Linked DNA regions of Canis lupus familiaris. Each later gene encodes a partner of the first gene's protein in a complex. Links are inferred from orthologs where the notes say so. Each region holds a gene or a part of one and is shown on either strand. Other genes may lie near its edges.

What was found. Proteins that work in one complex are often made in the same cells at the same time.
Region 2: the proteins of PAK4 (region 1) and INKA1 are in contact, whole or in part, in a crystal structure (PDB 4XBU), measured with the Homo sapiens proteins. The link is inferred for Canis lupus familiaris from reciprocal best matches to the Homo sapiens genes PAK4 and INKA1. Residues at the interface, in NP_001014831.1 of Homo sapiens: Ser331, Gln358, Arg359, Glu361, Leu362, Thr404, Asp440, Lys442, Ser443, Asp444, Phe461, Leu475, Val476, Gly477, Thr478, Pro479, Tyr480, Trp481, Met482, Arg489, Glu507, Glu512, Phe516, Asn517, Glu518, Pro519, Pro520, Met524; in NP_976248.2 of Homo sapiens: Gly178, Arg179, Ser180, Arg181, Gln182, Pro183, Leu184, Val185, Leu186, Gly187, Asp188, Asn189, Cys190.

Annotation. Positions count from the first base shown.
Region 1 is NC_049222.1:114,799,209-114,803,926, reverse strand, and holds part of PAK4 (serine/threonine-protein kinase PAK 4), read left to right. Parts: intron 1-61; 5' UTR 62-116; coding exon 117-320; intron 321-3,096; coding exon 3,097-3,555; intron 3,556-3,747; coding exon 3,748-4,185; intron 4,186-4,718. UniProt on the Homo sapiens protein: Serine/threonine-protein kinase that plays a role in a variety of different signaling pathways including cytoskeleton regulation, cell adhesion turnover, cell migration, growth, proliferation or cell survival.
Region 2 is NC_049241.1:39,875,827-39,880,607, forward strand, and holds INKA1 (PAK4-inhibitor INKA1), read right to left. Parts: upstream 2,622-4,781; coding exon 2,571-2,621; exon of another isoform or gene 2,493-2,570; intron 2,374-2,492; exon of another isoform or gene 2,213-2,373; intron 1,825-2,212; coding exon 1,030-1,824; 3' UTR 987-1,029; downstream 1-986. Other genes in the region: UBA7 (ubiquitin-like modifier-activating enzyme 7), read left to right, coding at 23-123, 589-718; CDHR4 (cadherin-related family member 4), read left to right, coding at 2,620-2,802, 3,033-3,123. UniProt on the Homo sapiens protein: Inhibitor of the serine/threonine-protein kinase PAK4. Acts by binding PAK4 in a substrate-like manner, inhibiting the protein kinase activity.

The DNA.
Region 1 (4,718 bases):
GGGCAGGGTCAGAGGAGCAGAGAGAAATGGCCGGGTTCTGGTGAGCGGCCCCCTCCCGCAGGCCTGCTGATAGGAGCCCAAGTCTGCGCCCTCGTGGTGCTGAGAGCCTCGGCACCATGTTTGGGAAGAAGAAGAAACGAGTAGAGATCTCCGCGCCATCCAACTTCGAGCACCGCGTGCACACGGGCTTCGACCAGCACGAGCAGAAGTTCACGGGGCTGCCCCGCCAGTGGCAGAGCCTGATCGAGGAGTCGGCTCGGCGGCCCAAGCCCCTGGTGGACCCTGCCTGCATCACCTCCATCCAGCCCGGGGCCCCCAAGGTATGACCCACCGCTGCCTCTCCTGCCCCACACCGAGCCCACAGGGTGCCCCTGCGCCCTCAACCTCATGCTTGACCCTGGGGCCGACCCCTCCTCACTGCCTGCCAGACACACACACCCCAACCCTCTACCCTGATCTTCACCCCCAGTGCTAACCTCGATCCCTCCACCCGCTGACCCCTCCCCTTGCCTCACAACCCCCACCTTGACCCCTATGGCAGACCCCCCCACCAGCCTCCTTGTCTTGAGCCTCCTCTCCCTGGGCTCTGTGCCTGTCCCCAGTACCAGGAACTTGTCCTCGGGCAAGGGCCAGGCCCCCAGGGTCAGGGGGGTCTGGCTGGGTGGCCCAGGGGAGCTGCTGCCAGGGAGTCTGGGAGAGCTTTGGGGGGAGGGGATACCTGAGCTGAGCCCTGAGGGCTGAGGAGGCGTCTGTCCCTGGGCAGATGGAGAGGAGGCGGGGCTTAAAGGGGAGGAAGCTGTCCGAGGAAAGCCCTGGAGGTGTTTTAGTTTGGTGGGGGGGTTCCTGCCATCTTGAGCAAAAGGGTGGAGTGGGGATTTGAACCAGGGTCTGTTTCCACAGCCTACAGCCCTTGAGCCCGTTCCCATCTGCGTGTCCACGGCAGGGCGTGGAAGCCAGCCCGGAGCGCGGACTTCACCCCAAGGGCAGTGGGAACCAGGAAGGGCCGAGGGCACGCGGCCAGGGTTGTTCTGGGGTGGAGACGGGTGTGCTGGCGTGCGGGCCCAGCGCCTGGGGACCGGCCTGCGGCTGAGCCCCCCTCTCCGGGTGCCCGGCCCGGTGGCCCGAGGACGCCCTCCGTGATCAGCGCAGGTGGGCGTCGGTGCCAGGGCCGGGGCTGCGGGGGCGGGTAGCTCATGCCGGCCTTTTGAGTACTTTGAACTCTTTGCCGCGGCTTAAAACAGCAGAGACTTCACATCCAAATCTGTATTTCTGGCTTCTGCTGACTAATCGCAGGGGCTGAGGGGGTGGCGGCCACCGCGGACGGGGCACTGGCTCTTCTGGGCCCGCAGGCCCCCCCCAGCCCTACTCAGTTCCATCCCCCGGCTGGCCTCCTGGCTGCTCCGTGCTGGCTCTGGCCTCCCTAGGGGACCCTAAAATCTGACCCCTGCCCATACCACTGGCGGTGAGCCCTGCTTGGGCTGTGTCCGCCAGGAGGAGGAGGCACCTTGTCTTGATTCACACGAGGGTGCGCGTGGGCTAGCGCTGTATCGGGACCCCTCTGGGTATTTGTTCGCTGCCCTAGGCTGGGAATCTCCCCTTGGCTGGGTCCTCCCAGACCCGCCCCCGTTCCCCAGGGACTTCTCAGCCTCTTATTCCAGCACTAGGGTCTGACCAGGTGTCTACCTTGCGTTACCTGGTGCCCAGGCAAGACTGGGCCTCCACGCTTGTGGCCAGGCCCAGGAAGGTTGGCGGGGTTGGAGGTGCGTTTTGTGGCATCGGTGTTTTGTGCACAGTACAGGGGGCAGTTCTGGCTTGAGGATGTCTGGCAGCCTTGGGCCCACGTCCCCGCAGGCCAGTGAGGGACAGCAGAGGGATAGGGGTGCATATTCTGCTCCCCGCAGCCCCCTCCCAGCCCTCCTCCCTCCCTCACTGGTTCAGCCAGTGTTTCTTGAGCACTCTCTGCATACATACCACTGTTCTAGGTGCTAAGATGTAGCAAGAGCAGAAAAACAGGCAAATACAACAGCTGCCTTCATGAACATCACACACGGGTGGTGGGGGGGTGCAGGCGATGGTCAGTGTACGCGTGCTTCATGGCAGCTGGTTTCAGGTGCTCCAGAGAAAGAGAAGAAAGGGAGGGGGAATAGGGAGTGTTAGGGGCTGCCGTTTTAGAGTCCAGGTGGTCAACCAAAGCTTCCCCCTGAGAAACTGAGTTTGGGCAAAGGCCTGAAAGAGGAGGACGGGGAAGGAGCTATGGGCATACTTGGGGGAAGGTGTCCTAGGAAGAGTGAACAGCCAGTGCAAAGGTCCTGAGGTGGGCGAGTACCTGGTATGTTTGAGGAGCAGTGAGGAGCCCTGTGTGCCTGGAGTAGAGTCCAGGGGGGACGGGGGAACCCTGGAGCTTTGACTCAGTACTCAAGGGAAGAGGTGGCCATGACCTGGATCAGGGTGGTAGACTCAGCAGCTGGAGCTGGGGTCGATTAGGGACACACGGTACATCCACCGGGCCCCGTGGGAATTCGCATTCGCCACCACTGCTCCCAGGGCACTCCTGCACTGCGGTCCTTTCCAACTCTCCTGTACTCCACCCTTGGCTTCCAGGGAAACAGAGCATGGGTTTGGGGTTAACAGCCGGCAGGCTGCAGAGGAGGAAGTCCAAGCCATGCCCTGGCCCTAGCATCGTGTAATTTGCAGCTCTCCAGGGCTGATTATGGGGTGGTGTGGGCTCTGCGCTCCTTCCTCTCCTGCCCACGGGGCAGAGACCGGCCCCCAGCCTGGAGAATAGAAGAAAAGACGGGATGCTTCTGTGGGGGGAGGGCTGGCCAGCCCAGGGGCGACAGCCTGACCCGTGGGAGGTTAATCCTTTGGCTTCCTCCCTGCGAGAAGGACATCCCGGTGGTGTGGGAGGGGCTGCAGGGGCCTCCCTGGTGCTGCCCCCACCTGCCCAGCCCCATCATCACCCCATGGCATTTCTTCATTCCGTCTCTGTCTTGTCTCTGTGTGTGTTGTGTTGTCCTGTCCTTGTGTGTCGGATACACGTCCTGTGTCCTCCTCTTCCTTGCCCGGCCCCCATCCCGCCATTGCCCCGGACCCCAGACCATCGTGCGTGGCAGCAAAGGCGCCAAGGATGGGGCCCTCACGCTGCTGCTCGACGAGTTTGAGAACATGTCGGTGACGCGCTCCAACTCCCTGCGGAGAGACAGCCCACCGCCACCTGCCCGTGCCCGCCAGGAGAACGGGATGCCCGCAGAGCCGGCCAGCACGGCCAGAGGGGCCCCAGAGAAGGCGGGCAGCCAAGGCCGGGCCGCCGGTCGCAGCGAGGCGGGTGGCAGCAGTGGCGACAGGCGGCGGGTGGGGCCAGAGAAGAGGCCCAAGTCTTCCAGGGAGGGCTCAGGGGGACCCCAAGAGTCCTCCCGGGACAAACGCCCCCTCTCTGGGCCTGACGTCGGCACCCCTCAACCTGCCGGTCTGGCCGGTGGGGCCAGAGTGGCAGCTGGTCGGCCCTTTAACACGTACCCGAGGGCCGATACGGACCACCCGGCCCGGGGTGCCCAGGTAACCAACCCCCCTGCCCCAGGACCTTCCACTGCCCCTTTTTCCAAGACTCCCCCTGTTCCCTTCCCAACTCCAGCCTGTGCCCAGCCCACCGTCCATCTCCATCCTGACCACCATGTGTCTGTCCCACGCAGGGAGCAGAGCTGGCCCTCCCACCCCTCCACTGACAGCCACCTCTCTCTTCTGTTGCAGGGGGAGCCTCACAACCTGGCCCCCAACGGGCCTTCGGCAGGGGGCCTGGCGGTCCCCCAGTCTTCCTCCTCCCGGCCTCCCACCCGAGCCCGCGGTCCCCCCAGCCCGGGAGTGCTGGGGCCCCATGCCTCTGAGCCCCAGCTGGCCCCTCAGGCCCGCCCCATTGCTGCCCCTGCCGGCCCCCCGGCCCCCGGGCCCCCTGGGCCCCGCTCGCCACAGCGGGAACCCCAGCGAGTGTCGCACGAGCAGTTCCGGGCCGCCTTGCAGCTGGTGGTGGACCCCGGCGACCCTCGCTCCTACCTGGACAACTTCATCAAGATCGGCGAGGGCTCCACGGGCATCGTGTGCATTGCCACCGTGCGCAGCTCGGGCCGGCTGGTGGCCGTCAAGAAGATGGACCTGCGCAAGCAGCAGAGGCGTGAGCTGCTCTTCAACGAGGTGGGCCCCGGGCCCCCTCCCACCCCCGTCTCACCCTCCTCGTGTCCTCCCCCAGCTGGTTTTGAGGCCAGTGCTGGTCCAGGCCCTCTCTGGTCCAGGCCCTATCAGGGGGAGGGTGTGAGAAGACCGTTCAGCACTGGGGGTTCCCAGGGCTTGGGTTTGAGCTGCCTCCTCTCCTTACTGCTCACACCTGCCCGGGCCATCACCCCCAGTACCCACCACTGCATCTCTGTCACACTCTTGGCCTCCTCAGAGCCCCTCTGTGACTGAGTCCCAAACTGACCCCCAGAATTTCTCCCTCGGCCCTGCCCCTCCCCTGGCTCCCTGGCTCAGAGAGCACGTTAGCCTCCCTGCAGCCCCATCCTCTCCTACTCGGCTCTGCCCTGGGTTGCCTCATGGGCACCCCCGGGGTAACCCCACACAGCAGCTAAAGGGCTTTCTTGGACATGCAGGCCTGCCATGCCCGCTCCCTCTTTTACTGACCCTGGCAGTTCCCCTGCCCCGCCCCTCCGTGTCCTCAGGGTAAAGGCCTG
Region 2 (4,781 bases), on another chromosome or scaffold:
CAGCTGACCTGTCTTTCACTAGGAACAATTTGGGCTGAGGGTGAAGATGCTGCTGCATGGGAGGTCCCTGCTCTACTCAGCAGGATGGCTGCCTGAAAAGCAGGCGCAGCGCCTAGCCCTCAGGTGAGCCCACATCTGGCTTTAGCCATGACTTGTTCTGTTCCTGGAGGTTGGAGGTGGGAGACCGAAGTCTTTGTTCTTCCCATCCCCATTTGGGCCCCTCACACCGTCCTGAGACCTTCTTTTGCCAAATGGAGCCAGCAAATGGGCTGGGGGTGGGGTGAGGATGGAAAACTTGAGAAGGGGCCTCCAAACAGCCTGCTTGGCCAGCTCCACAAGCTCCCCCACACTCTGCTAAGCCCCCCTTTCACAGCCCACTCCCAGGGGACTCATAGCTTCCTGCCTCCTTGCCCGCCCTGCCTGCTGCTCCTAAAATAGTTTCAGATGTTTCCTGCCTTGAGCTCCTCCTGCCCCTGGCTTAGGCTCCTTACAGCCCATCAGCACCCTCTGGTCCATGCCCAGTTACTCTGCCTACCACTGCTCACCTAGCCAATCACTCTCCCACCTCCCCCTCCCCCATACTACCAGGGTGACGGAATTGGTACAGCAGGTGACAGGCTGGATACCTAAGCCAGGGCAGCGGGTACTGGTGCTGGAGCTCAGCTGTGAGGGTGAAGATGAGGATACTACCTTCCCTCCCCTGCACTATGAGCTGTGACAAGGCAGTAGCCCTATTCCCTGGCTCTATCAAGCCCTGCATCCTGAGCCCATAGTAGGCACTCAATAAATACTTGATGAAGGAGGGTGTGAGTGGAATGGATGGATGATGAAACACAGGGCACAGGGTGTAATGCACAGGGTGTGTGACATGGACATGATGGGGACCCCTGCAGGGAGAGAAAGGGCTCTTTAGATTCGCCTTTCTGGGCTGTGTGCCTCAAAGAGCTGGGGTCGCCTCCTAGAGCCTCAGGGGTATGGAACCAGGATAGTCCAGAAAAGGCCTTTATTGTCCCAGGCTGGAGGGCAGGGTCAGAGGTAGCTGACATCATTGCAGATGATAGGTTGGCGGCTGCGGCAGCTCATGAGGGCTGCAAAGCGTGAGACATCTGCAGGCAGTTCCGGTTCCGGGCGAGGTGGGCACGACAGTCGCTTTCCCGCCATAGCCGCCCGGCGTGCCCTGGCCAGCTGGCGCCGCAGCTGCTCAGAGAGCCCAAGCAAGAACTGAGGGGGACGAGCACGGGCACGGGGCCCACCACCATTGTCCCCCTCACCCGCTGCCTCTGGCAGCTCCATCCAGTTGTGCACCAAGTCAGCAAAGCAGTTGTCCCCCAGCACCAGGGGCTGGCGACTGCGACCTCTGTTCAGCAGGGCTGCTGTCCAGTCCTCAGCTTCCAGCCCCTGCCAATGCTCCAGGCAGGCATCTGGGGTAGACTTGGGACGTGGCCGGTGGGCAGGTGGTGCACTGGCCGCAGGGGCTCTGCTGGGCAGGGGAATGCCACTGGCTGAGAGGCGTTGTCTATGTGGGGGCCATGCTGGGGGTGATGGGTGCTGGAGTACAGGCAATTCTTCCTCTCTCCATGTGCTGCCTGACACTTCAGAGAAGCCAGAGTCCCAGTCCAGGGCATGTTCCCTGGGGCTCCTCAAGACAACACCCTTGTCTCCTATGACTACACCTTCCTCCTCCTCTTCTACACAGCAGACTGAATTCTCTTCCAAGGCATCTGAAGCCCTGAGCCGGTGGCTGAGCGGAACACATGGGCCAGGTTTGGGGGGTGTTGGAAGGGGCCCAGACATGGGAGGTGAGCCTGTGTCCCGGCCACACAGCTGTGGAAAAAGAGAGGGCCCAAGTTGGAGGAGTTGCTTGTCACCCCTGCCTGCCTGGCCAGACCAGTCCCAAAACTGAAGGCCCAGGAGGGCTGGATAGGCCTGTAGGCCTGGACAGCAGGCCTCCAGTGGGCACCGGGCCGGCATGGAGGCACTGGCACACGTAGCTCGTGTGGCTCCCATCAGCCGACCTGGTGGCAGTCCGGCAGGCTGCAGCACGCAGAGCTGGGCAAGTCGGTACCCGCCACCAAGGCGGGAGGCAGGGTTGGGAGCCTATCTGTATCGGGAAGTAGGTCCTGTTCAGGGCTAGGGGTGGGGGAGCATCCCTGCTTCCTGAGGGATTCAGCACCCCAAAGCTCATAGCCTTTTTCAGAGAAAGAGCACTTGCCAGGTAGGGGGTAGGGAAGGAGGTACAGGTCGGTCTGGGGTTGAAGGCATCCACACCAGTGCCAGCACTTCTTTAGTCCCTCTCAGCCCCCTGATCCACCCCAAAAGAAGTTTCTCCCCGCCAACTCCCTCTGCCGCCCCGGCAGCAAGGCCAGCTGGGCGGCTGTTACTTGATGCCCAGCGCAGCTCCCAACCGTCCGAAACCCGATGCGGGCCATCTGGGCCATCTGCGCCGCCCCGCCCCCATCCTGCCTTAGATGGGCACTCGGGACGGCCCCTACCCGTGTGTTGTTCGGGCCGGACGGCAGCTGGGCACCCCGCACACGTCCTCACAAGCCACACCCGCTCCCAAGCCTCACCAGTTCCCAGCGGAGCTGGCCCAGGAAGCTGTCAAGCCGAGCGCTGTGCATGCCCGTGCCGGAGCGCCCGCCAGGCCTGCCAGTTCCTCTTCGAACTCCAGCGGGACCGGCGCCCACAGGGCCCAGCGGGCCGGCCAGCGGCGCCCGGCCCTCCGCCTGGTTCCGCGGCTGCTCGCTCTCCGCAGCTCCCGCCGCCGCCGCCCCAACATCTGGCAGCCGCGCCCCGCCCCTGGTGCCGCCCCCAATGGAGCCAGGGCGGGGCTGAAGTGGCCCCGCCCCTCGGGCCGGGCGGGGGTGAGCCTGAGGCCGCCTCCCCACTCCTCTCCAGCTCTGGGAGGGGGAAGGGGCGGGGCTGGCGCTCCCCTACACCCTGCGCGGTTGAGCCGACTCCAGCTCCGCTGCAGGACCCGAGACAAGTCGATTCCCCGCGGTAGCCTCGGCTTTCCCGTTTTTCCGGTATAGAACCGCGGTCCCTCCCGCAGGGGCCCGGTGAAGGCGCGGATCCCCCCACCCCCGCCAGCCACGCCCACGTGCGGGCAGAGCGCCCCCAAGCGTGGGACCCACAGTCCCGTGGCTGCTCTGGGCCCGACCCACTGAATCCATTCCTGGAGCGGGCGTCAACAACCCTGGAAGCGATGGGAGGATCTGCCCCCTCTGAGGATTCAGGGAGCACCGGACCGCGCCGCGGCGGCGGCGGCTCGGGAGAAAGGCTTCAGCCCAGGCGCAGCCCGCGCCCTCTCCCACCGCGCGTCTGGGCAGAGCTAGGCGGGGCCGCCCCCTAGTGGGGAGCCGCGGTTAGCCACGATTACCTGGGCAACTCCACTCGTTTCCCTCTGCCCGCAACACAAGCCAACCTAGAACGCAGGGGGTTAGGGCGGCACTCTGTCCAGAATAGTCAGAGCCAGTTCCTGGAGGCCGCTCCAGGATCCGAGGCTAGATTCCAGGATACAGTCTAACTTGAGAAAGACTAGACAAGTCAATAGACAGAAAAGTAGCGGGAATGAGGGTGGCCGGGCTAGTCTGGGAGAGGGGACTCGCAGAGGAAGCGGCATTCTGCATGGGATCTGAATGAACCATCATGGGAAATCAAGAAGGATATTCTAGGGGCGCCTGTGTGGCTCAGTAAGTTAGGTTTCTGACTTGATTTCAGTTCAGGTTATGATCTCAGGGTGGTGATACAGAGCCCAAATTGGACTCCACGATGAATGTGGAGTCTACTTAAAATTCTCTCTCCCTCTGCCCCCACCCATTTGTGCTGTCTCAGGAAGAAAGGAAAGAAGGTGAAAGAAAGAAAGAAAGAAAGAAAGAAAGAAAGAAAGAAAGAAAGAAAGAAAGAAAGAAAAAGAAAGAAAGAAAAGAAAGAAAGAAGAAAGAAAGAAAGAAAGAAAGAAAGAAAGAAAGAAAGAAAGAAAGAAAGAAAGAAAGAAAGAAAGAAAGAAAGAAAGAAAAGAGATTCTAGGCAGAAGCATCAGCCAATTAAAGGCCCTGAGAAGAGAAGAGTTGCACAGGGCATAACATAAAGAAGGCCCAGGTATCTAGATGGTAATAGGTGAGGAAATGAGGAGGTCAGTAAAACCAGGCTTCTAGCAGCCTTAGAAGGAAATAAAGGGTTTTGTTTTTGGTGTGATGGGGAGCACTGAGGCTTTTGAGCAGGCAATGACCTGGGCTGGCTCTTGTTTGGATAATCCCAGCTGCTTTAGGAGAACCACTCTGTAGTTAGAGTGAAGGCTCCTGCCCTCATCCATCAAGAGTGGAGCTGGGCCACAGAAGGGGGTGACTTTGAAGTATGTTTTGGAGCTAAAATAAAGTCTTGCTGATAAATGAATATGGGTAAGGAAAAAAGAGCATCCAGCACGACTTCTAGATTTCTGGCCAGAACAACTGGTTGGATGAAATTGCTGCGAATTGATCCAGGAAAGACTGAAGAAGGACGAGTTTGGGAAGGAAAACCAAACCATTATCTGTGGACATGTGGCCCTTAGGTGCCTGTTAGACATCTAACATGAGATGCAGGGTCAGCCACTGGGTGTATGATCCTGGAATATGGGAGAGAGATCACACCGAAGCCTTAGTCTGGAAGGCAAAGTGAGTGGATGGTATTTAAGGCCATGGGCTTGGGAGGTGAATGTAGGCAGAGGCAGCAGTCAGGACTCAACCCTGGAACAGTCCTCTTGGTCATGGTAGGGAAGCAGAACCAGCAAAGGAGCTAAG